Linked DNA regions of Notamacropus eugenii. The protein of the gene in region 2 interacts with the protein of the main gene of each other region in a pairwise test. Links are inferred from orthologs where the notes say so. Each region holds a gene or a part of one and is shown on either strand. Other genes may lie near its edges. The genes, in order: CA1, TFCP2 and ZCCHC10.

Region 1 (7,242 bases), on a different chromosome or scaffold from region 2:
AAGACAAAAGGAAAACATTTTTTAAATTTATGGACAAAATATTCTGCTGAGCACTGTGCATCTACCCATGAAGGGTACTGTGTTCTCATTAAGCCTCATGACAATTATCTGAGAAAAGTTACAAAGAAGTATTTCCCTCACTTTAAAGATAACCAATCCAAGGAAAAAACAGGCATAAATAATTTGCCAAGGGACAGCCAGTCATTTATAGAAGAGATACTGGATTCCTAGATTAATGGCTCCCATCCTACATCCTCCTAATGATAAGGTCTTTCTAACCAGCAATTCCAGTTAGTATTTTGTTTACAATATAGCTCTTTAAAAATTATGAAATCCTACGTAACTTAGCAATATCTCCAACAGAGACTGCTTATGTAAATTGACAAGGTAATGAGCTATTAAAATAATTTATTTGGTTGGCTGAAAGTTTTTCTACTTGAAAAATATGTAAACACTAAAGGAAAAACACAGAAAGGCATAATGGATGATAATAGTAAGTATTAGCATTTATAAAGCACTTTAAGTTTCGTAAAGCACTTTACAAATATTATCTCATTTAATCCTCATAACAATCCTGGATGGAAGGTGTTATTACTGTTCCCATTTTACAGATGAGGAAAACTGAAGTAGTGAGAGGTTAAGTGATTTACTGAGGGACATTTGCCAATAAGTCAGAGGTGGGATCTGAACCCAGGTCTTCCTAATTCCAAGACTAACACTTGATTTATTGGGCAAAGTCCAACAGTATCATTTTACAGATAAAGAAAACTGAGACCTCAGGAAGTGACCTGACTTGACTAGTTAGTGAAGCTAAGGAATAAATTATTCCTAGTAGAAATGATTCAAATTTCAGTTACTCATCGATTCCCTGCTTTGTCCCTGTTTTTCTGTGCATCAGCAACAGTTGGGCAAAAGACTTTACATTAATCTTAGTATTTTTGCATTTTTCCCATTCACCTACATGCTCATTAGCCTAAATATGAATAAATGTATATTTCTTTCAGAGACTGCCAACTGGAGAAAGACTTCTTTAAAAAGTGATGACCATATGTATGGACTGAACAGTCAGTTTTGCTCAAGAAAAGCCATGGAAGTCATTTCTCCTGGAGAGCAGGAATGGAAGGAAAGTGGAATTATTATTTTTTGGTTTGCTGATGGATGAGAGCAGAGAACACACATAGAAATTAAATACTTGGAATTTGACAAATTCCAGACAAGACCACGTTCTTTCCAATATATCATGCTAAATAGCAGTAGTAATAGACTTACTCATCTCCCCTCTGAGTATCCTTGGTGCCAAGAAAAGATGGGCTTATCTTTTTAATTGAAAATTCTCTCTTTATTATTATTACATTAATAATATATTAATACTTTTAAACTTGACAATACCCACTACAGAGAGGGAAAGAGAAGAGAATAGTAATAGTCTATCTAACATGTTCCAGCATTCAGCATGATGAAAACAACTGCTTGGTGGCACAGCGTCAGGAAGATCTGAGTTCAAGCCTGCCTCAGACACTTTGTCCTCCAGAACTGCTTCCTTTCCTCCCCCATCATACCAGCGCATTCTGAACTAGAACTTCAGTTCTTCAGGTTCCAGTCTTCTCCCAGTCCCTGCCCTTTCTCTCGTTTTTCTTCTCCCCACAAACTGATCTTCCTAGCCCTGATGACAAGGGGAAGGATGAGCTATCCAAGGAATGCCCTGTGGAGCATCTCTGGAGCATTTCAGAATTCACTCTGTCCACCTCTTCCCTTTCTTTTCCTGGCCTGACTTCAGCTGAAACAGTCTCTGGGTCTCTTCCTCTGGAGCAGCTCTGGGTTGGAGGCTTTGATGACTTGCGCTGTCATTGCTACCAGAAATATCAACTCATTCCCAAACCCCTCTATCCCCAGTGAAGTGGGGAAAAGGAGTACCTCCAGAGGGGCACTCTCTGCCCCCTTACTCAATCAATGGATCTGGAGTCCAAAATCTCCTCAACAACAAAAACAAGCAACTAGCTGTGTGACCTTGGGCAAGTCCCTTAACCTCTCTGAGACTTAGTTTCTTCATCTGTAAAATGAGGGTAATGACAGCCACAGGGTTCTCGTGAAGATCAAATGAGATTATTTAGGTAAAGTGCCTGGTAGACCTTGAAGTGGTATATATTAGCCATTATTACTAAGTGTTTTAAAATCAAAATTATCTTGTAATTGAAAAGTACTACAGAGTTGTAGGGGTCACTAGGTTGCATAGTGGATAAAGTGCCAGGTCTGGAGTCAGGGAGATCCTAGTTCAAATCTGACCTCAGACACTTACTAGCTGTGTGACCCTGAGCAAATCAGTTAACCCTGTTTCCTCAGTTTCCTCATCCATCAAGGTAGCTGGAGAAGAAATGGCAAACCACTCAGTATTTTTGGTAAGAAAAACCTCAAATGGGGTCATGAAGATTCAGGCGTGACTGAAAAATGACTGAACAACAACAAAAGAATTGTAGAGGGTAGTAAAAGTTATATCATGAAATGTAAAGGGGGTAAAGGTTGAGTTGGGTGCTTTTTTTCTTCAGTTAAGATTTCTTTATTATCTATTATAATCACTATAGGGAAGGTAAAATACCCTAAAAATCAGCAGAATTTTGTGGGTGGGTGTGTTTTTTTAAACTGCTCATTTCTTTTTCATTTTACCTGAGTCATGGAAATAAGTCAACAATTCTTGATTATATTGGTACATGTGGAGCTGGGAAGCATCTATAAAAACCACGGGTGGAGGCACAGAATATACATAGGAGAGAGCCTGTGTATGACACTATCAGTCACTTTAGTCACAGCTGTGTTGGTAGAAGAAAACAGAAGGACATGGCGAGCCTGAACTGGTCATATGAGGGAGAAAATGGTGAGCATTCTTCTACCATTCCATATGGGAGGCAGAGCATTTATTCTCTTTTGAACATTCAGTATCTGGTAACATTAAAAAAATGGATTAAGAGTTATAGAGGCCAAGATAGGTGAAATAATATTATTTTTATAATGATAGTAGGTAACCATGGTGGTTCTACAAATTTGCTTGTCTTTTGTTTTCATGAAATGTATTTTATCCAGTTTTGTAAGGTTAGCAGACATTCCATTTTAGCATGAAATAGTGCAAAGAAAAAACATTCTCTGATGCTAGATTTTGACTTACTTGCATGAAATATTTTAAAATATTTGATATAACAAGATATTTAATATAATCTTTATATGTGTTAAGGAAACTTCTGAAAAGTAACAGAGGTAGTTTATAAAAAAAAAAATCAAGTGGAGATTTGCATATTTTTGCATATTTTGCATATGTTTACATATTTTTGTCTTTCTAGGGCCTGAAAACTGGAGCAAACTCTACCCCATTGCTAATGGAAACAATCAGTCTCCTATTGACATTAAGACCAAAGAGGTCAAACATGATGCTTCTCTGAAACCCTTCAGTGTCTCCTACAACCCAGCAACGGCCAAAGAAATCATCAACGTGGGTCATTCTTTCAGTGTAAATTACGAAGACAAAGATAACCAATCAGGTGAGCAAAACCATGCTTCTTCCTCCTTACTTTCCAAGGTAAACAGCAGATCAATCAATCAACCAATATTAATTTAACACCTCCTATTTGCTAAATATTCTGCTAAGTGCTTGATATACAAAGACAAAAGCAAAACAGTGAGGGAACTTGCTTAAATACTCACAGGGGAGACAGCACATATATATATTAGTGTACTAAAAATACATAAAATGTAGATACAAGGTAATCTTAGGGAGAAAGACAGCAGCAGCTGGGGGAACTAAGAAAGTTCTATTGTAGAGGAGGGAGTTTGAGCTGCCTTGAAGAAAACCAGGAATTCCAAGACGTGAAGGGTAAAAGGGAGAGAGAGCATTCTAGGAATGGGGGACAGGTCACTTATGTATGAGAAACAGAAAATAGGCCAGTATGGCTAAAATGGAATGTGAGTTGCAGAAGTCAGTTGGCAGAGTGGGCAAAGTCTTGTACTTAGAGTCAGAAAGACCTGAATTCAAATTCAGCTTTGAACACTAACTTTGTGACCCTGCACAAATCACTTAGCCCATAGCCTCAGTTTCCTCTTCTGTAAAATGGGGATAATAACAGCACCTATCTCTCACAGCACTGTTGTAAAAATCATTTGAGATATGAAAGCACTTAGCAAACCTTAAAGCATTTTATAAATGCTAGCTATTATGGAGGAAAAGGTTATGAAAGAAGACTGGAGGTAAAATATTTTTGAAATGTTTTAAATATCCAACAGAGGACTGTATATTTCATCCTAGAGGTAATAGGGAGAGATCATCCTCATCCTCATCATTCATATAGTGCCTATTTTGTGCCAGGCACTCAGCCAAATGTTTTATAAAGGCTGTTTCATTTGATCCTCAAAATAACCCTGGGAGGTAGATGTTATTATCATATGTATATATATATATATATATATATATATATATATATATAATTTTATATTATTCTTATCCCTATTTCACTGTTGAAGAAACTGAGGCAGATAGAGGTTAGATTTGTCTTGTTAGACTTGTCCAAGGTCACACAGCTAGTAATTGAAGATAAAGCTGAACACAGGTTATTTCTGATACTAGGCCTACATTCCATCTATCGGATGCTAGGCCTACATACTATCTACTGAGCCACCTAGCTACTGAAATAAGGAGCAGGGTGACAGTCTGAGCCTTTAAGGAAAATCACTTTAGAGGTAGTTGGACAACAGATCGGAGTGGAGAGGGAGCCCGATTATGAAGTGATTACAATAATCCAGGAGAAAAATGCAGAGGGCCTGAACTAGGTTGGGTGGATTTATAGGAGAGTTTTTGTAGAAATAGAAACAACAAAATTTGTCAACTCTTTCGATAAATGAGATGGATGAGAATGAGGACATCATAGAGATTGAGAACCTAGGTGACTACAAGGACCAAGTTGCCATCAACAGTAGTGGGAAAGTTGGGTAGAAGGAAGGACTTGGTGGGGGTAGGGGTGGGGGTGGAGAAAGTATAATTAAGAAATACAATAGCCAATTAGAAATATATTTATTCTGTAGCACATTATACACAATGCTAAAAATTATCATAATAAAGTTCTATATAAGGTTAGTCCAGGGATGGGGAATCTGCAGCTTTGAGGCCACATGTGGCCTTCTAGGTCCTCGGGTGCAGCCTTTTGACTGAGTCTAAGTTTTACACATCAAATCCATTTATAAAGGGGATTTGTTCTATGAAATTTGGATTCAATCAAAGGGCTGCACTGAGGACCTAGAGGGCCACATGTGGCCTTGAGGCCACACGTTTCCTACCCTTAGGCTAGTCCTACAAAAAATTATAAAGCTGACAAAACTGGTCTCTTGGGCTCTCTTGTCTTTTCAACTCCACTCAGTGGTCCTTTCTCCCCCTGCACAGAGCTTTGAGTCCATCTATGTATTTTTTTCCTACTTTTCTCCATCAACACCTGCTCTCTAGAAAGGATCTGATTAACCCAACACTAACGGGCATGTGATTAACATGATTTAAAGTATTGCTTTCCTCAGGAAAATCTGCATTTTTAACAAGGCCAAAGAAATAACTTTCTGGTAGTAGAATGTGAAGCATCAGTGACGAGGCCCAGGAGATAATTGTTTTTGGTTCAGGAGTGCTTTTCAGGCACCCCTAAAATCACAACTAAGTAGTTGCCTACTGCAAGATTGGTCTAGGTTCTAGACTTTTTGTACAAGCCTCTCAACATACACTTTAGGTGCATCATTGGCCTTGCTAACAACATTCTTATTGAACATTGGTGCCTGTTTAATTGACATTTGTATAATAGGCAAAAAAAAATTGCAAATAGATGATGGAAGATACAAGCAAATGAATGAACAAATAGATGAAACACATGTTAATCAATTGCTATGTGCAAAGCACTATGATGAAATAATTTTTTATGAAACAACACAAGTCAATAACAAATTAGAGGGATTAGCAATCCCTCAGATCTTTTCTTTTTATCCCCATACTTCATCTACTTCAACTCTACTCCCACTTGAAGTTTTAACCCTGGTCCAACTTCTGCTGATTGGATTGGGGTTTCTAACTTGTAACCAGATGCTTTCTTTCTCATTCTAGTACTAAAAGGAGGTCCACTTGCTGGAAGCTTCAGGCTGCGGCAGTTTCATTTCCACTGGGGGAGTGCCGATGACCATGGTTCTGAGCACACAATAGATGGAGTAAAATATTCAGCCGAGGTAAAATGATTGCAAGAGACATAACAGTATTATGGGAGCAGCTTCTGAGAATTAATCCCCTGGTTCCTCCCACTCATCTCCCAACCCAGCTGAGTAGATTTTTTAAAAGTGAATGCTGTCTCCCTCAATCTATAGAAATCACAGGCAGTGCTTATACATATATATGTGTGTGTGTATATATATATGTATATATATGTATGTGTGTATATATACGTGTATATATACATATGTTATCCTTCAGAGAAAGTAGGATGGTAGATCAATGTTTTGAAAGACCCATGATTTCAATGATGTGACATCATGTCCAAAAATACAGATGAAACTTTTTACCAGACTTACAGAAAATTATTCAATTGGATGATTTTTAAAATATGGTATCCCCTCCAGATACTTTTGAGTATTCCAAAAAAATAGTAAGCAATCAAAAAAAATAACAGAAGTAGGGCACATTAGAATTCGATGTCATTTTATTCAGTAGAAATATCTTACTTAAGGAATTTTCAGAATTTTGAGGAATTACATCACCTAATTTTGGATTGCTTCCTTATCATCCTTTATAGTTTTTTTTAACTCTGAGAACTAGGAGGAGGAATATGTTTTTTAAATCATTCTACATGCCTGATATAAAATTTAATTACTCTTCTAACCCAGCATCTATCTTTAATTTGAATATATCTTTATTTCTTAAATAGAGCAACTATAAGTGAAATATGACCAAGTTTCCTGCTGCATTGTGAACCATAAAGTGATCTTTACAATGTTATATAAAGAAAGTCATATAAAGTAGAAGTCAAAGAATAACCCAGATCAGAGAAAAGAAAGAAAGATCTACAAAAGATTATATATCCTTGTTTGGGATATATTATTTATGTAACCTACATAAAAAGCCATATTGTTTACCAGAAGCAAACAATCTCTTTCTAAATCATGCTCAAAGACAATTACAACCTCCAAAATACTGATGCTTAAGACTTGAAAATGCTACATCAAATTACCTCATAAACTTGC
Region 2 (7,242 bases):
CTCCAAGAAGCTCCATTTCCTAACTCCCAGAATTTTCACTTGTTATTTCCTATGCTTGGAATTCTCTTCCCCATCTCTGCTTCTTGGCTTCCCCAAAGTCTTAGCTAAAATTTCACCTTCTGTAAGAAAGCATTTTAATCTGCTGTAATACTAGTGTCTTCCCTCTCAGACTACCTACAATTTATCTCATATATATATATGTATATATATATATATATATATACACATACATATACATATACATATATATAGTTTGTACATAGCAGTACGCATGCTTCCCCCATTAGACTCTGATGTGAACTCCATGAGGGCAGGGACTTTTTTTTTTTTTTTTTGCTCACCTATATCCCCAGTGCTTAGCACAATGCCTGGCATATAGGAAAAGTTAAGCAAATACTTGTTGATTTGATTTGACTAACCTAGTGGTAGTATCAGGCATGAGCCCAATCAAAAGAGGTCAAGGAAAGAGGAAAAGGACTCATATGAACAAGAATATTTACAGTGGCTAAGAGGCACAGTGGATAGAGCTCTGGCCTTGAAGTCAGAAAGACCTAATTCAAATCTTGCCTCATATAATTATCAGTTGTGTGACCCTGGGCAAGTCATTTCACCTCTTTGCTTCATTTTACTCGTGCAAAAAAGGGGGATAATAACAGTACCTATCTCTCATGGTTGTTGTGAGGATAAAATGGGATGTTTGTAAAGTGCTTTGCAAACCTTAAATAAGTCAATATATTAAAGAAGTTAGTTACTATTATCATTATAGCAACACTTTCTGTTGTAGTAAAGAATAGTAAACAAAATGGTGCCCACCAATTGAGGAATGGCCAAACAAACTGTGGTATATCAAAGTGAAATTCAAAGTGAAATTGTATAGCACCATAAGAAGTGAAGACTGATCAATTTAAAGAAATATGGAAACATACAAACTGAGATATAACAAAATGAGCAAACCAAGGAGAACAATTTACAGATGGTTACAATAATAATATGCTGAAAAAAACAAACCTCATGAGATCCTACTTATCTTCCTACATCTTCCCTCTCTTTGTCAGCCAAACTCATAGAAAAAATTATCTATACTCCTTAACTCCACTTCCTCTCCTCTCCCCCCCTCTGCAATCTAGCTCTGGTTTGGACAGCATCATCAATTGACATTGTTCTCTCGTAAGTTACCAAAGATCTTTTAAATCAAAACTCTTAGTCTTTTCTCAACCTTCATCCCTCTCAGTCTCTTGGCTTCATTTGACTCAACACTGGTGAACACCCTCTTTTCCTGGATATTTTCTTCTCTTTGGATTTTCATGTGAGAAACTTCTCTCCTGGTTTTCCTCTTATGTGTCAGTCTTCTTTATATCTAATGATGTGGATTGTGAAGCACATCACTGCCTTTAACTGTTCCCTCTACCCTAGGCCATCTTCTCTACTTCTTTTATTTGGTAATGTCAGAGATCGTGTGGGTTTAATCATCACCTCTATGTGTGCATTTGACATATACATACACGCGTATCTGTATATATATTCCACCCTAGTCTCTCTCTTGAGTTCCAATGCCACATCACCAAGTGCTGAGTGCCCATTCTAAACTGGGCATCTCAAGGGCACATCAAGCTCAAGTCTTACTTGCTTCATGAATCCAATTAGTTTTCAAGCAATGTTTCTACTTCCACAGTATCTACTGCACCCATTGCCCTTCTCTTCACTCACACAACCATCGCTGGGTTCAAACCCTCATCATCTCTCACCTCACTACCGCAATAGCCTCACCGTAGTTACACTTTACTGTTCACATGTATTCTTGCTATTCCTCATACTCCCCACTCCATTTCTCATCACAATGTCTTTGCACTGACTGCTCATCTGTCTGACCACTTCCTTACCTTGGTCTCTAAGGATCCCTGGTTTCCTTCAAGACCCACTTTTCCTCATCCCCCCAACTGTTAGTGCCTTCTCCACAAAACTGCTTTGAATGTATGTGTACCCCTGTTATTTCTTCCATTATAATATAAGCTCCATGAGTAAAAGGACCGTTTTGCTTGTTTTCTTATTTCCAGTGCCCGAAATCACTTAATAAATGCTTTCTTGGTTGAGAAAGAAATAAGTAAAAGAATATTTCATGAGGAAAAGCAAAATGCTAATCTTTCATTTATTCAACAAGCATGTACGAAACAATTACTACATACCAGGTACTATGGATAAAAAGATTGAAGCCAAAACAGACCTGCTCCTTAAGGAGCTTCCATCACTCGAAAACACAGATATAATTCTTAATTAGACATGGTCCACTGCTAGGCAAATAGCTCAAGCAGATCAAGACAGGTCTCGTATACAATAATATATTTACAGCAGCACTTTTTGTGGTACCAAAGAACTGGAAACAAGAACATTTACAGACCAGGTGATGGTAAACAAACTGCAATACATAACTGTGATAGAATATCACCATGCTGTAAGAAATGACAAGGATGATAAATATGAAGAAGTGTTGGAAAGACAAAATGATAAAAAGTGAAGCTGAACCAGGAAAACCATATACATAACAACAATGAAAATGGAAAGAACAAAGTAATTGAAACTGAATTACAATTCAGTAATATAACTATAGCATAAAATTACAATGACCAAGTTTGGCCTCCCCCATGCTTTTTCTTTTGTGCATTTGTGCAGAGGTGGGGGAGACCACTGCACAAAAAGCTAGATTTTGGGGGGATACGTTGGCTAGTTTGGATGAACTCTTTTCATTCTTTGTTAAAAGGGATGGTTCTCTGGGAGGGTTTGGGGGAGGGGTACAGTGATAATGAAAACAAAATATATTGGCAAATATTTTTGTGAATTACACACGGAACAGAATTTGCCTACCCTCAGGCAAATGAAATGCCTTTCATTAGGGTGTAGCACGCCTTCCGTTCCCTTTCAACAAGTACTCGTTAAGAAGTTACTTTGTGTCCAGCCGTCCAGCAGCACCTGCACGTAAGCCCCAAACCCAGCTCTACTAACGAAGTACACGGACACTCGGCACTGCCCCACTAAACCGCAAAACCATCCATTTCTGCATTCTGATTAAGACCTCCCTCGTGCAAGATGCAGGGAACTTCCGAATAACCTTTCTTCACTTTTTCCTTTACCTCTAGCACCCAAAGCAGGGGGGAAGGGAGGGGGTGGGAGGGAGGGAGATGGGGGTAGAGGGGAAAGATGGGAGAGAAGAGAGCGAAGGGAAGAAAAAGAGGGTGGAGAAGAGGGAAAAGAGGAGAAATACATGGAGAGAAGGAAAAAGGAGGGGGGGAAAGGGGAGGAGGGAGAGGAGAGAACAGTGCAGACCCAAGTTAGAGCACCCACACCCAAAACATCTCTACCATTCTCACCTACAAGACACTTTCTCAGGGAGACCTTTTGTTACCCAGACCACCCAAACCCCACCAAGGCCTGGCCCGCGGGGCCAGGTCACTCACCTCATACTATAGGCCCCCGCGCCCAGCTCCTGACCGATCCCGGACAGACTGGCGTCAAAGTCCTGCACCAGCCCGGACTCGATCACCTCGTCGGTGAGCGGTAGCTTCAGGGCCCAGGCCATGCTGCCTCCTTCCACAGTGCCCCCTTGGAGACGGCGGTCTTCCTCGCGCTAGGCAGGGGCTCCGCGAGCACCGACCCGGGCGGCGGGGCTGCAACTCCGCCCCCCGAGCCGCGGCTAAAGGCAAGTTCGCACACGCCCACCCGGACCTCCACAGCCCGCCTTCGGCCCTGACCTGCCCCTCCCGGGAGTCTGGGCCCCCCTGCCTGGTCCCTGGCTCGGGGGAAGCGGCGAGACCCCTCGGGGCTCCTCCAGCGCACAGCCAGGGCGCAGACACTCAGATCCGGGATCGCCCAGCCGCGGTGCCGCCCCCAGCAGCAGCCAGTCCAAGGCCTCTGGGCCCGGCCCACGCCCCCGGGCAGATCTACCCACGGGTCTCCCGGTTCCCCACCCACCCCACCCCCTACCCTCCCCACAAGTATCCCACCCCTAGCGGCCTGCTCTCTCCTCTTCCCCCTCCACAGGCCTAACTTCCGGTCAGTCCTAGTCTCGCTTCCGGTCACCCTTCCCCGACCCAGAGGTCCCCTCAGAACTAAAGTTAGAATAAATTTCTTAGGAGTTGTCCCCGCTCACTTCCCACCCCCACCCTCACCCAGCCAAACCCCTAAACCCTCCCCCTACAGCACAAAGCGTGGAGAAGGACCGCCAGGGCTCGCCTCAAAACTCAGCCCTGCCGAGGCCCCACCCCGCCGCCCGCCTCGCAGCACCCCCCACTCCCCGCCAATCATTGCTCCGCCTCAACACCCACCGCTGCCCGGCTAACCAATCCTAGTGGGTCCCTCGGAGTGGGACCGCCTCAGCTCCCGTGACGTCTCTAGGCTCTCCCCAATGAGGGGGCGTGGCTATCACTCTCTGCGGCAGAGATTGGCAGTTTCTCCCCAGTTCTCCGCCTTCGGGGGCGGGACTAAGGGGGTTTGAGAAGAGAGCGCTGAGTTTGGGTACCCGCTCAGTCGGTCCAGGTCCTTCTCGCTCCTCCTCGCTACGCTTTATCTTTCTCTACCTTAATCTTCCCTCTGCGGGTCATAAGCCCTCCCAAGCCTGGCCCTCAGCATTCTTAACCTAAGATCCGTGAACTTTGTTTGTCTTTTAAACATTTTTATACCTAGGCAGCTAGGTTGCTCACAGTGACTTAAGTCCTGGATCTGGGGTGAGCAAAACGTGCGTCCAAATCATGCCTTAAACGCTGGCTGTGTGACCCTGCGCAAGTCGCTTAACCCTTGTTTGCCTCAGTTTCCTCCTCTGTAAAATGGGGGTGATAATAATAACAACTACCTTGCAGGATTATTGTGAAGATCAGATGAGACAGTAATTGTAAAGACGCTTAGCACAGTTCCTGGCACGCAGCACTTGTAATACTCTGGATATTTAAATCCTGCCTCAGGCTCTTTCCAGCTGTCTGACCCAAGAAGGGTCACTTGACTTCCTTCAGCCTCAGTTTCCTCATCTGTAAAAGTGTGTTATAATAGCGCAGGGTTGCTGTGTGGACCAAAGGAGGCAGCCCTAGATTTCTCTTGTGGTCCTGTGCATTTTATTGGGTGCATTTTTACATTTTATGAGAAGGAGTTCACAGGATTCACCAGACTGCCAAAGCAACCTGACAAAAAAGAGTGAGAACCTACCTTTATATACTATGTTTATGGTCCCAGCTTTCAAACCTCCCAAGGAAAGAAGCTCTAGGCTCAGCGCAGGTGGAGGTATGGTGGGGTAACTCAATTAGCTATACAAATCAGGAGATCATAAGAACTCTGGGGCTAGAAAGTCACACAGTCCTGGTCACCCAGGTAGAGGCAAAGCTTGGTCCTAGGTGCTCTGACTCCAGAGTGCTTCCTACTGTACTACCCCAACCTCAAACAACAAGATAGGGGTTCTGCCTCTCACTAATTTTCTGTGTGATGTTCAAGCTTCTCTGTGTCTCGGTTTCCTCATCTGGAAAATGGAAAGGTTGTAGTATATCAGAGGTTCTTAACTGAAGATCTGTGGACTTGTTTGTATTTTTTTAAATATTTTCATAACTTGAAATATAATTCGTGTCCTTTATAATTCTGTATTTTATTTTTATGTACTTAAAAGCATTCTTCTGAATCCATGGATTTCACCAGATTGTCAAAGGAATTCCTGAAACAAAAAAAGGTTACGAACCCTGGACTAGATGATCTCTGAAAGTTCTTTCTAATTCTAACATTCTATGATTCAACCTTTAAAGTAGGGGAGCTTCAAGGAATGAGTGAAGTGTCCCACAATGAAAAGAACTGAGATCCCAAGACCTTTCAGAAACTAGCATACTAGTATTCTGTTCTTTATATATAAAAAGAAATGGAAATGATTGTTATCTAAAAATCTTCTAAAAGTTTTTTTTTTTTTAATGTATAGATGATTAAGTTTAGGTCAGTAGTAGTATAGTCTTATTTGGACAATGGCAAGGTACTATCATCTACTTATGGTGTGACGTGTACTGCTGCACAGAATGGTTAAGAATGAAATAGTCCCTAATATAAAGTGCTTAGCACAATGCCTAGCATATAGTAGACATTTAATAAATGTTTATTTCCTTCCTTCCTTTTGGAAGTCAATAATCAAACATAGTCATCTTCTCACTCCTTCCATCCTCCTAGGGTTTTGAGGGCAGAACTCTTATTTTTGTTCAGTGGCATGCCCAAGGAATGAAATCTTCTAGAAACAATAGAGAGGCTATCCTTTATCTTCAGGCTTTACCCAGATTCAGAATGTTGATACAGAACTGACATGATGGGCTTCAGGAAGACATTTTCAACTTAATTTTCTTGATCTTTATGGTGATCAAGATGATGTTTCCTAGAAAATCATTCATATCTATGAAAAAAATATCAGATGAAACACCTTCCCTGTGTAACTTGCCTTTCAAAATTTCATCCCTATGAGAGCCTGAGAAGTCACCAGAGATGCTACAGTCCTCAGGATATCGAAAGCAGTATTGCCTTCAAATGAATTTGTGACAAGGATGAAAGCAGATGTTGAGAAATGGAACAAGATGTCACATGAGGTCATATCACTTGATCCTGCCCTGTTGCTTGATGTTAGATTTTGCTATGGAGAGAGACTTTTGGTCTACTATTCCATGTCATTCTTTCCATGTGGCCAAGAACTTACCAAGGCTTACAAAATTAAGAGTTCTGGGTGAGTCAGACAAGCTGAAACTAGTTTCTTCTTCTGCAACCTTTGCTGATACAACTTAAGGTGAGCATGATAAAAGATAAACTGGGACAAATTTTGGAGACTTGTAGTATAGAAAATTAGAACAGAGAATAGACAGACCCAGGAATTGTTGTGGCCAGAGAGCAATGCTAGACAAGACTAGTCATTGTGTGGGTGAGAGACCAGCCTTGCTGGTATTCTGAAATCGGCTGCCATGAATCCTGGTGCTTAACACCATTTTCTTCATTTGTTTGTAGAACCGAACTTAGTGAATTCCAAACACAAAATTTATTCTTTGGCCCTTCAATGAGCTTAGGAGGAGGTTGTCAGGGTAGATGATTGGATAGAATAGCTTCTTTATAGTTTTCCTCTGTAACAATGCTTTTATTGTTATTTACTTTACTGCATTTTAAAAGTCACGTGGCCAGCCCCTAAAAGTCAGGATATTGATGAAGAGTTAGAGGATTCTCAAATGGAGGAAAGATATGTAACCATCAAGAGAG
Region 3 (7,242 bases), on a different chromosome or scaffold from region 2:
GACCCTCAAAAGAACACCTGTGGAAGACATGGATGAGGATCTTTAAAAGAAGCCATTAGAAAGAAAAGATGGGCAAGTCATGTCAAGAGAGCAAGGGATGGATGACTGATGTACGGCATTGGTATCCATGAATCAACAGGAGATTTAAGGGAAAGCCCCTAAACATTTCATGGAACTCCTATAGAAGATTTGTGGGATGACATGGATAAGAGTTACACATAATGAGAGGGCATTAACAGTTATGATCTGCATTCTGGAGGGTTACCCGCATCAAGCAGAATACAAATTCACTGAAGTATTAAAGTACAGGAAAGAATTATTTAGGAAAAGAAGGTATGCAATCTGCACTGGTGAAGGGAATACCAACATAAATGAGATCTATTGATCTATCCAGCTATCAAAATGAGTAAATTTTTAAGTTTTGGAGTTTTCATACAGTTTTCTAAAATTTCATCCCTTCTTCCTCTGAAACAGCCTTTAACAGTGGAACCCATTTAACTTAGAAAACTCCATTTCCCATCATTCTTATCAGGCTAATCCAATTACTGGTTCCCATACAAGCCAAGTTCACATGTGTTTTCATTTATTCAAACTGTTGTTCCTGTATGGCTTACCTTCCCATCTCTACCAATCTAAATTCCATTTCTCACCCAAAGCTCAGTTGAGAGCCCAATGTTTTTATACTAGCTAAATCTTTTAATTTCCTGAATTCCTAGAGTGCATATCTGAACTACACAAACATCTGATAATATATTACTAATTATTAATACATATTATTTGCTTAAAAATTTTTGATATGGTAAATACCTAAAGAATAAGGACTATACCCTGTATTTTTTTTTTGTCCTTCACGTTATAGTATATAAAATTGAACTTAGCATATAACAGTTTAATTACACGGCCCAACAAACTTGGTTTGAGTCTAGAAGCTAACCCTAAAAAAGCCAGAAAAATTTTTCTATATTTAAGCTGAAGTTGGAATAGGTTTGGTGGTAGCCAAGATTAGGGCCCAAGCTGGTCCCTACTGTTGCCTGCCCTATATCATGTTATTGGAAATTTTGAGCTTCTTTTCAAGTAACTGTGATAATATAGTGTGAGCCTGTGTGAGCTAGAACAATATGAGCTAAAAGAACACTGAATAATATCCTAGTTTTAGGAATGATAGTCCTGAAAAGACTAAGGTTTATGGCAGCTAGGGGTGCAATGGATAGAGCATTGGGCTTGGAGTCAAGATGACTCATCTTCCTGAGTTCAAATTCAACCTCACTAGCTGTGTGACACTTAACATGGCATGTCACTTAACCCTGTTTGCCTCAATCCTCATCTGTAAAATAAAGTGGAGAAGAAAATGACAAACCACTCCAGGATCTTTGCCAAGAAAACTTCAAGTGGGGTCAGGAAGAGTCAGACAGAACTGAAAACAAACCAACCCCCCCAAAAAATAGTGTTACCATTCAGGATTTCTTAACCCTTCCCTTAATAAATGCTTGTTGACTTGACCTTTATGACTTATAATGCGTCCTTTAAATACAAAAAAGAGGAGTATTTTTTCAAGTTAAAGTTCCAATTCAAGTTCTGGAAGTACAGTGACAGTAAATAAAGTATGACTACATTTTAACTTATTTCAATTCCAAATAAGTGTTATTTGTAAACTTTCTGCCCACTTATTCAACAGGTACAACTTTATACTTGCGCATATTTTGTCGTACTTACACAATGAAAAACAAAAAACAAAAAGCTCCCCAAAATAAATTTAATGAGACTATTTACATTTGTCAAAATATGATAAAGGAAAATAGTTATGTTTACTTCTTTCATACAAGATTTATGTGTATAATAATAATAAAACTTCCTAAGTCTACAATTTACATAATGATCAGAATACTCATATTTGTTTTTAAAAAGCGATACTAACTTTTTAAGAATCTTACAGCTTCTTCAAGTTCTATTCTTTTAGAATGAGACTCCAAGGATCTACAAATTATTTTTTCTGGGTTTACCGAACTGATATTTATTTCCCACGATCACATCCTTTGTTGCTGTTTAGTCGATTTTCAGTCGTGTTCGACTCTTCGTGAGCCCTTATCCTTTACCTACTGTTAAATATTAGAATCCTCAATAGTACATTTGCTTTGTGAATCATAAATAGGGCAACTGAAGCTAACAAGCACATTCCTCATGTAATTTTCCCTGCTTTAAAAAAGCTCTAAATTAGGGATTTTTTTCCATCATCCTCTATAAAGTGAGAGAAGATGAAAAGAAAATAATGACAAGTTGTAAAGCCGCGGACTGGAGCCAACAGTAGTGTTGACAGGGGTGTACAAAGACATTTGTTTCAGTAACCACCGAAGATCTGCTCACGTCACTCTTATCTGGAAAAACTCGGACGTTCCTTCCCTTGCTAAAGGGAGGCCTCCCGCGCTCCACCTCCCCAAGCTGCCTACCGGGGGCTCTCCGACGTAGGCCACTCTCCCTCTTCCCGGGGCCCACAACATCTAGGTTGTCTCCCTTTCCACCCCCTTGGCTCACCCCATTCAATGCCCCCCCAAGAGAGGGAACCCCACTTCCCAGGGCCGTTGAGGGTCCTCAAAGAAAGTTAGGTTGGCTACGGGAAATAGAATGGAAAAATCCCTACGCCGCCGGGGGTGCTCACTTACGCCTGCCTCCGAGCGATAAGTCGATGCATGGGAGTCGCCATGTCAGCGAGAACCGGGGACCGCCGCGATGCATCCTGGGAAGTTCCCCCTAGGTGGAACTAGAACTCATTAGACGTCATAGAGACGGGACTAGCTGTGGCTAGAGGGGCAGCCAGGCCTCGCATTGGTGGACGCAGTCTTCCTCCGGGGCCTGGGAGGACTTGAAGTAGACACCGGGGATATTATCCGCCTGAGCCCTCCTTGGGGAGACAGACGGCCAACCCTGGCTTCCAGACCCAGAATCCTGGGCATCGTTGCCGTGCTTTGGGGGAAATGAAAACTGGGAAGACACTTAATGGGTTCTGGAAGTGGAAACTCAAACCTGTCAGTTTGGTCCCAGAAGGGAGGGGAAGGGGGCAGAGCTCCTGGGACAAGGGGCGTGTCCTATCTTCTTTCCCTCCCCTCAGGGGGCGTGTCCTATATGTCCCTCCCTCTGCTCTATTCACTCCATTGTCACTGTCCATCCTCCACCCCTGGCCGGTCTTCTCTCCCTCCCTCCTCTGTAGGGGCGTGTCCCGGGCTTCCGAGAGTGATGGGGAGTTCCACACAAATCCAAAAACCGCGTAATTGGTAGCAAAAGGGAGGAGCTCAATCCTACTTAACCTTCCCTTCTCTCTGATCCCTCTTCTCTGCCTTCCTAGACCGAGGCTACGTACCGACAATCTAGTGGTGGGGCAGTTGGGCGTCCAGTGTTGCCTTCTTCCTCTTCTCTACCCTCTTTCTATTTCTCCTCCTCCCTCCCATGGGGTGTATCTTGTAACCACTGCTCCTCCCTTATTGGGGTGTGTTGCCCTCTCCACCCTCCACACTCCTAGCGTTCCAACTTATCCTATTATTAGTGTAAGTTATTAAACTCCAGACAGAATGGGCATGTCCCCACATATCTCTTCCCCTACTCCCCTCCCCATGACTTGAACCGAAAATTGTAATTCTTTCCAGTGTCTGGGGTAAAAAGAAAGAGGAAAGCATCCCAGGATGTTTTTTAAGTTTTTCACATGCACCATCATGGCCTCTAATCCAACCTTAAATCAAACGTATTAGCCCAGGGATCCTAAATTCATCCTGGAGAATAATTTCTCCTACCTAAATCCATTTGACTGAAAGTCAATACATCTAGAGGCAAGGTTAGAGGATAGAGTTTAATTAGCATTAGCTGATGGGTAGTTGCCAAGTGACCAACAACTCCTAAGAATAGAGGAAGATACACACATTTTTTTTACACACAACTTTACACAGTTTTACACAACTTTAGGGCAGGTAGCAAAAGGAGTCTATTAGGTGAGGCTGCTCAGTCACTTTCCCTATTTCTGAGGTTGAGTAATAGGGACAGGAAGTTAGGTAATTTGTTTCTGGGTGTGATGGGGTATAGACTCTGGGAACCCCCTTGAATTCTCCTTGAATCTTTCCACTTGATCTGGCTTTTCATGCCCAAATCTGTTACCCTTAACATAGGCTAGCCCTCCATTGTCTGTTACCTCCAGATTGTCTCTGGCTACCTCCCAGCCTTGATCCTATCAAAATCCCATTCTCTTGATTCTGACCTCTAGTCACCCCAGTTCTATCAAGCTCCTCCTTAGACTCTTCTTCAAAACCCTCCCTAAATCCTTACTCTAGTTCCCCCAGACTACTTGGACAACCCTAGATTCCACTCACAATCTTTTTGTATATAAGATGCATTTTGCCTCCATGAAGGCGCTCATATTCAATCTAACCCAGATTCTGTCAGACTTGCTTATCAATACAAGCGTCACAAATACTCAGATTCCTTAAATCTACCCAATATGGCAGATATTAAACTTAGTTTTTCTTTGGCTGAAAGAAGGCTTGAGTTGAACTCATTTGGACAGGACCTGGCATGTCGGTATTTGGGGATCCTGAGCATCCATAAACCTCAACAGGTATAGGTAATGTCTTAATTTTTCAGTAACCTTGGTGTAGCCCCAAATCAGATTTGTTTTAGGTAGGGGTGTTTTCCTGTAGTTAATCTCATCAGATCATCGGAAAATCTAGATGAGACTGAAGATCTATGGTTAGTGAAGTCTTTCCTTTGAGAAGAAATCAGAATGAGGGTCTGTCTTTATACAACTCTTCAGAGTATGTTCTTTGAACTCTAAGGGTATTTCTGGGGAGATATTTTCCCAATACAGCACATAGGTTTTGTACATTTCCTCTACATTAGAAAGCATTTATTAAGCCTTGCTATGCGTCAAGCACAAGGTTAAGTGCTGGTATTCAGAGACAAAAGCAAGCTGTCCCAGAATTCAAATAATTTACATTCTAAGGGGAGATAAGTTATACACATGCAGGCATGTACAGAATACATCTATATGTATAGACAAACATAAACAGTGGTAAGTGAATTTTGATATGGTTTCACTTTTTGACAGTACTAGTAATGCTTGTATTCTTTCTCTGATACCAGACTGACTCGGAATATATGACCTTGACCAGATGAAACTAGATTGATCTGGTTTCCAAAACCTTTACTTATTTCTTTATCAGTTGACTGTTGGATACACTAGTGTTTCATTGTTCTTTTTTTTGCTGTGTTTTTAATTCTGTGGTTTTAAAGAATAGATATTACTCCAAGGAAATGTACAAAAGAGTAACTCTTAGAAAGAAAGTTCGTTTCCATGACCACTGGAAACATTGTAGCGGCTATTGGGGAATCAAATGTTTCAAAGATCATCAGAGCTTACAATGAAACAGAAAAGGAAAGTACAGTTGAAAATGAAAAGCAATCTCAATAACTGACAAACTTGTTGCAAAACTGTGTAATTAATCCTTTTTAAAACAAGCAAAGATTTCAAAGGGACCTGTAGATTCTTTTACAGAGAAACAATAGAGTTTCTTTACCTTTGTTTGGCTATTTTTTGTTTTGCTTTTTATCCTGGACTTCTTTGACTTCTTTTGATGAAGCCTGTGGACTCCTGGAATAGTTTTTTTTTTAAATTTACAATCCAAGGAAATGCTATTTTTCAGTTAGAGGTTGGTGAAAATAAAAACATAATTTTTCCCCCATTTGCTTCTTCAACATTGTCACTTGCTATTTCTTTTTAGAAAATTGTAAGTTCACATGTATACCCTTTAACCCAGCAATACCACTATTAGATCCGTATCCCAAAGAGATCAAAAGAAAAGGAAAAGGAACTAAATGTACAAAAATATTTGTAGCAGCTCTTTCAGTGGTGGCAAAGAATTGGAAATTGAGGGGATGCTCATCAATGGGGGAATGGCTGAACAAGTTGTGGCATAGTTTTGCGATGGAATATTATTGTGCTATAAGAAATGACAAGCAGGATATTTTTAGAAAAAAATCTGGGAAAACTTAAACGAGATAATGAAAAATGAACAAAACCAGGAGAACAAGCTACACAGTAACAGCAACATTGTACAATGAAGAACTGTGAATGACTTGGCTACTCTGAGCAAGACAATGATCCAAGACTATTTGGAAGGACTTATGATGAAAAATGATATACACCTCCAGAGGAAGAACTAATGGAGTCTGAATGTGGATTGAAGCATCATATTTTCACTTTATTTTTTCTTGCCTTTTTTTTTTTGCAACATGGCTAATATGGAAATAGGTTTTACATGATTTCACATGTATAGTTGATACCACATTTCTTGCCTTTTTAATGGGGAAAGAGGTGGCAGAGAGGGAGAGAATTTGGAACTCAAAATTTTTTTAAATGAGCATTAAAAATAAAATTAAAAAATGGCTAAAAGAGAATTGTAAATTTAGTAAATATTAAGAAACAGTAACATTCAAATAATCAAATGACTTTAAAATGATTTACATGAAGGCATCTAAAGTTTGTCTAGAAAGTTTACGATATAATGACAATATCATCCTATTATTCCCGTGAACCTTTTCTTTTTCTCCAGGTTTGTTGCTTTTACATAGCTATAGTCAGTATATATACATTGGTTCTAATTTTTTCATTCTGTATTTCTTATAAGAACAGCAATACTTGGGACTCCTCCCAAAGTATCTCTCCTCTCAAGGTTCTAGGGTAGAAGCTGGGGATGTCTTTCTCTAATGCCATTGGCTTAAGCCTCATTCTTGTGTATTTCCAAGCTGAACATTCCCATTCAACAAAAGTGGCAGCTGAAGGCAAGATATCTACTAGAAAACTTTGGTGAACTATTTGTTGCTAACTTGGAGGGAAAGCTGAACCAACATATTGCTGGTAACAGTGGAGCAGAAAAGGAGTGAACAGCTTTCAGAGATTTGGTGTACAGAATCAGTTTTACTCATCTGGGCCAGAACACTCATAAACATCAAGAACGGTTTGATGAAAATGATAGAGAAATTCAGAAACTGCTAAATAAAAAACATGAACTCCACAGGGTTTACCAGTTTGTGTTAATTTTGGCCTACCAATTAACACCAAGAAAACCAAGGTTCCCCACCAGCCTGCACCACACCATCTATACATGGAACCATCAGTTATAGCAAATGGAGAAATTTTAAATGCTGTGAATAAGTTTACTTACCTTGGCATTTTCAGGGATAGGTGATGAGGTTGACACATGCACT

Evidence for each region.
Region 1: the proteins of TFCP2 (region 2) and CA1 interact in binary tests that used the Homo sapiens proteins (3 or more experiments, as listed by UniProt). The two-hybrid records come from large-scale screens. The link is inferred for Notamacropus eugenii from reciprocal best matches to the Homo sapiens genes TFCP2 and CA1.
Region 3: the proteins of TFCP2 (region 2) and ZCCHC10 interact in binary tests that used the Homo sapiens proteins (3 or more experiments, as listed by UniProt). The two-hybrid records come from large-scale screens. The link is inferred for Notamacropus eugenii from reciprocal best matches to the Homo sapiens genes TFCP2 and ZCCHC10.

Annotation. Positions count from the first base shown.
Region 1 is NC_092875.1:317,601,582-317,608,823, reverse strand, and holds the start of CA1 (carbonic anhydrase 1), read left to right. Parts: upstream 1-2,761; 5' UTR 2,762-2,832; coding exon 2,833-2,869; intron 2,870-3,329; coding exon 3,330-3,527; intron 3,528-6,115; coding exon 6,116-6,234; intron 6,235-7,242. UniProt on the Homo sapiens protein: Catalyzes the reversible hydration of carbon dioxide. Can hydrate cyanamide to urea.
Region 2 is NC_092874.1:223,523,479-223,530,720, forward strand, and holds the start of TFCP2 (alpha-globin transcription factor CP2), read right to left. Parts: upstream 3,886-7,242; 5' UTR 3,572-3,885; coding exon 3,450-3,571; intron 1-3,449.
Region 3 is NC_092872.1:345,604,522-345,611,763, forward strand, and holds the start of ZCCHC10 (zinc finger CCHC domain-containing protein 10), read right to left. Parts: upstream 3,423-7,242; 5' UTR 3,353-3,422; intron 2,746-3,352; 5' UTR 2,699-2,745; coding exon 2,658-2,698; intron 1-2,657.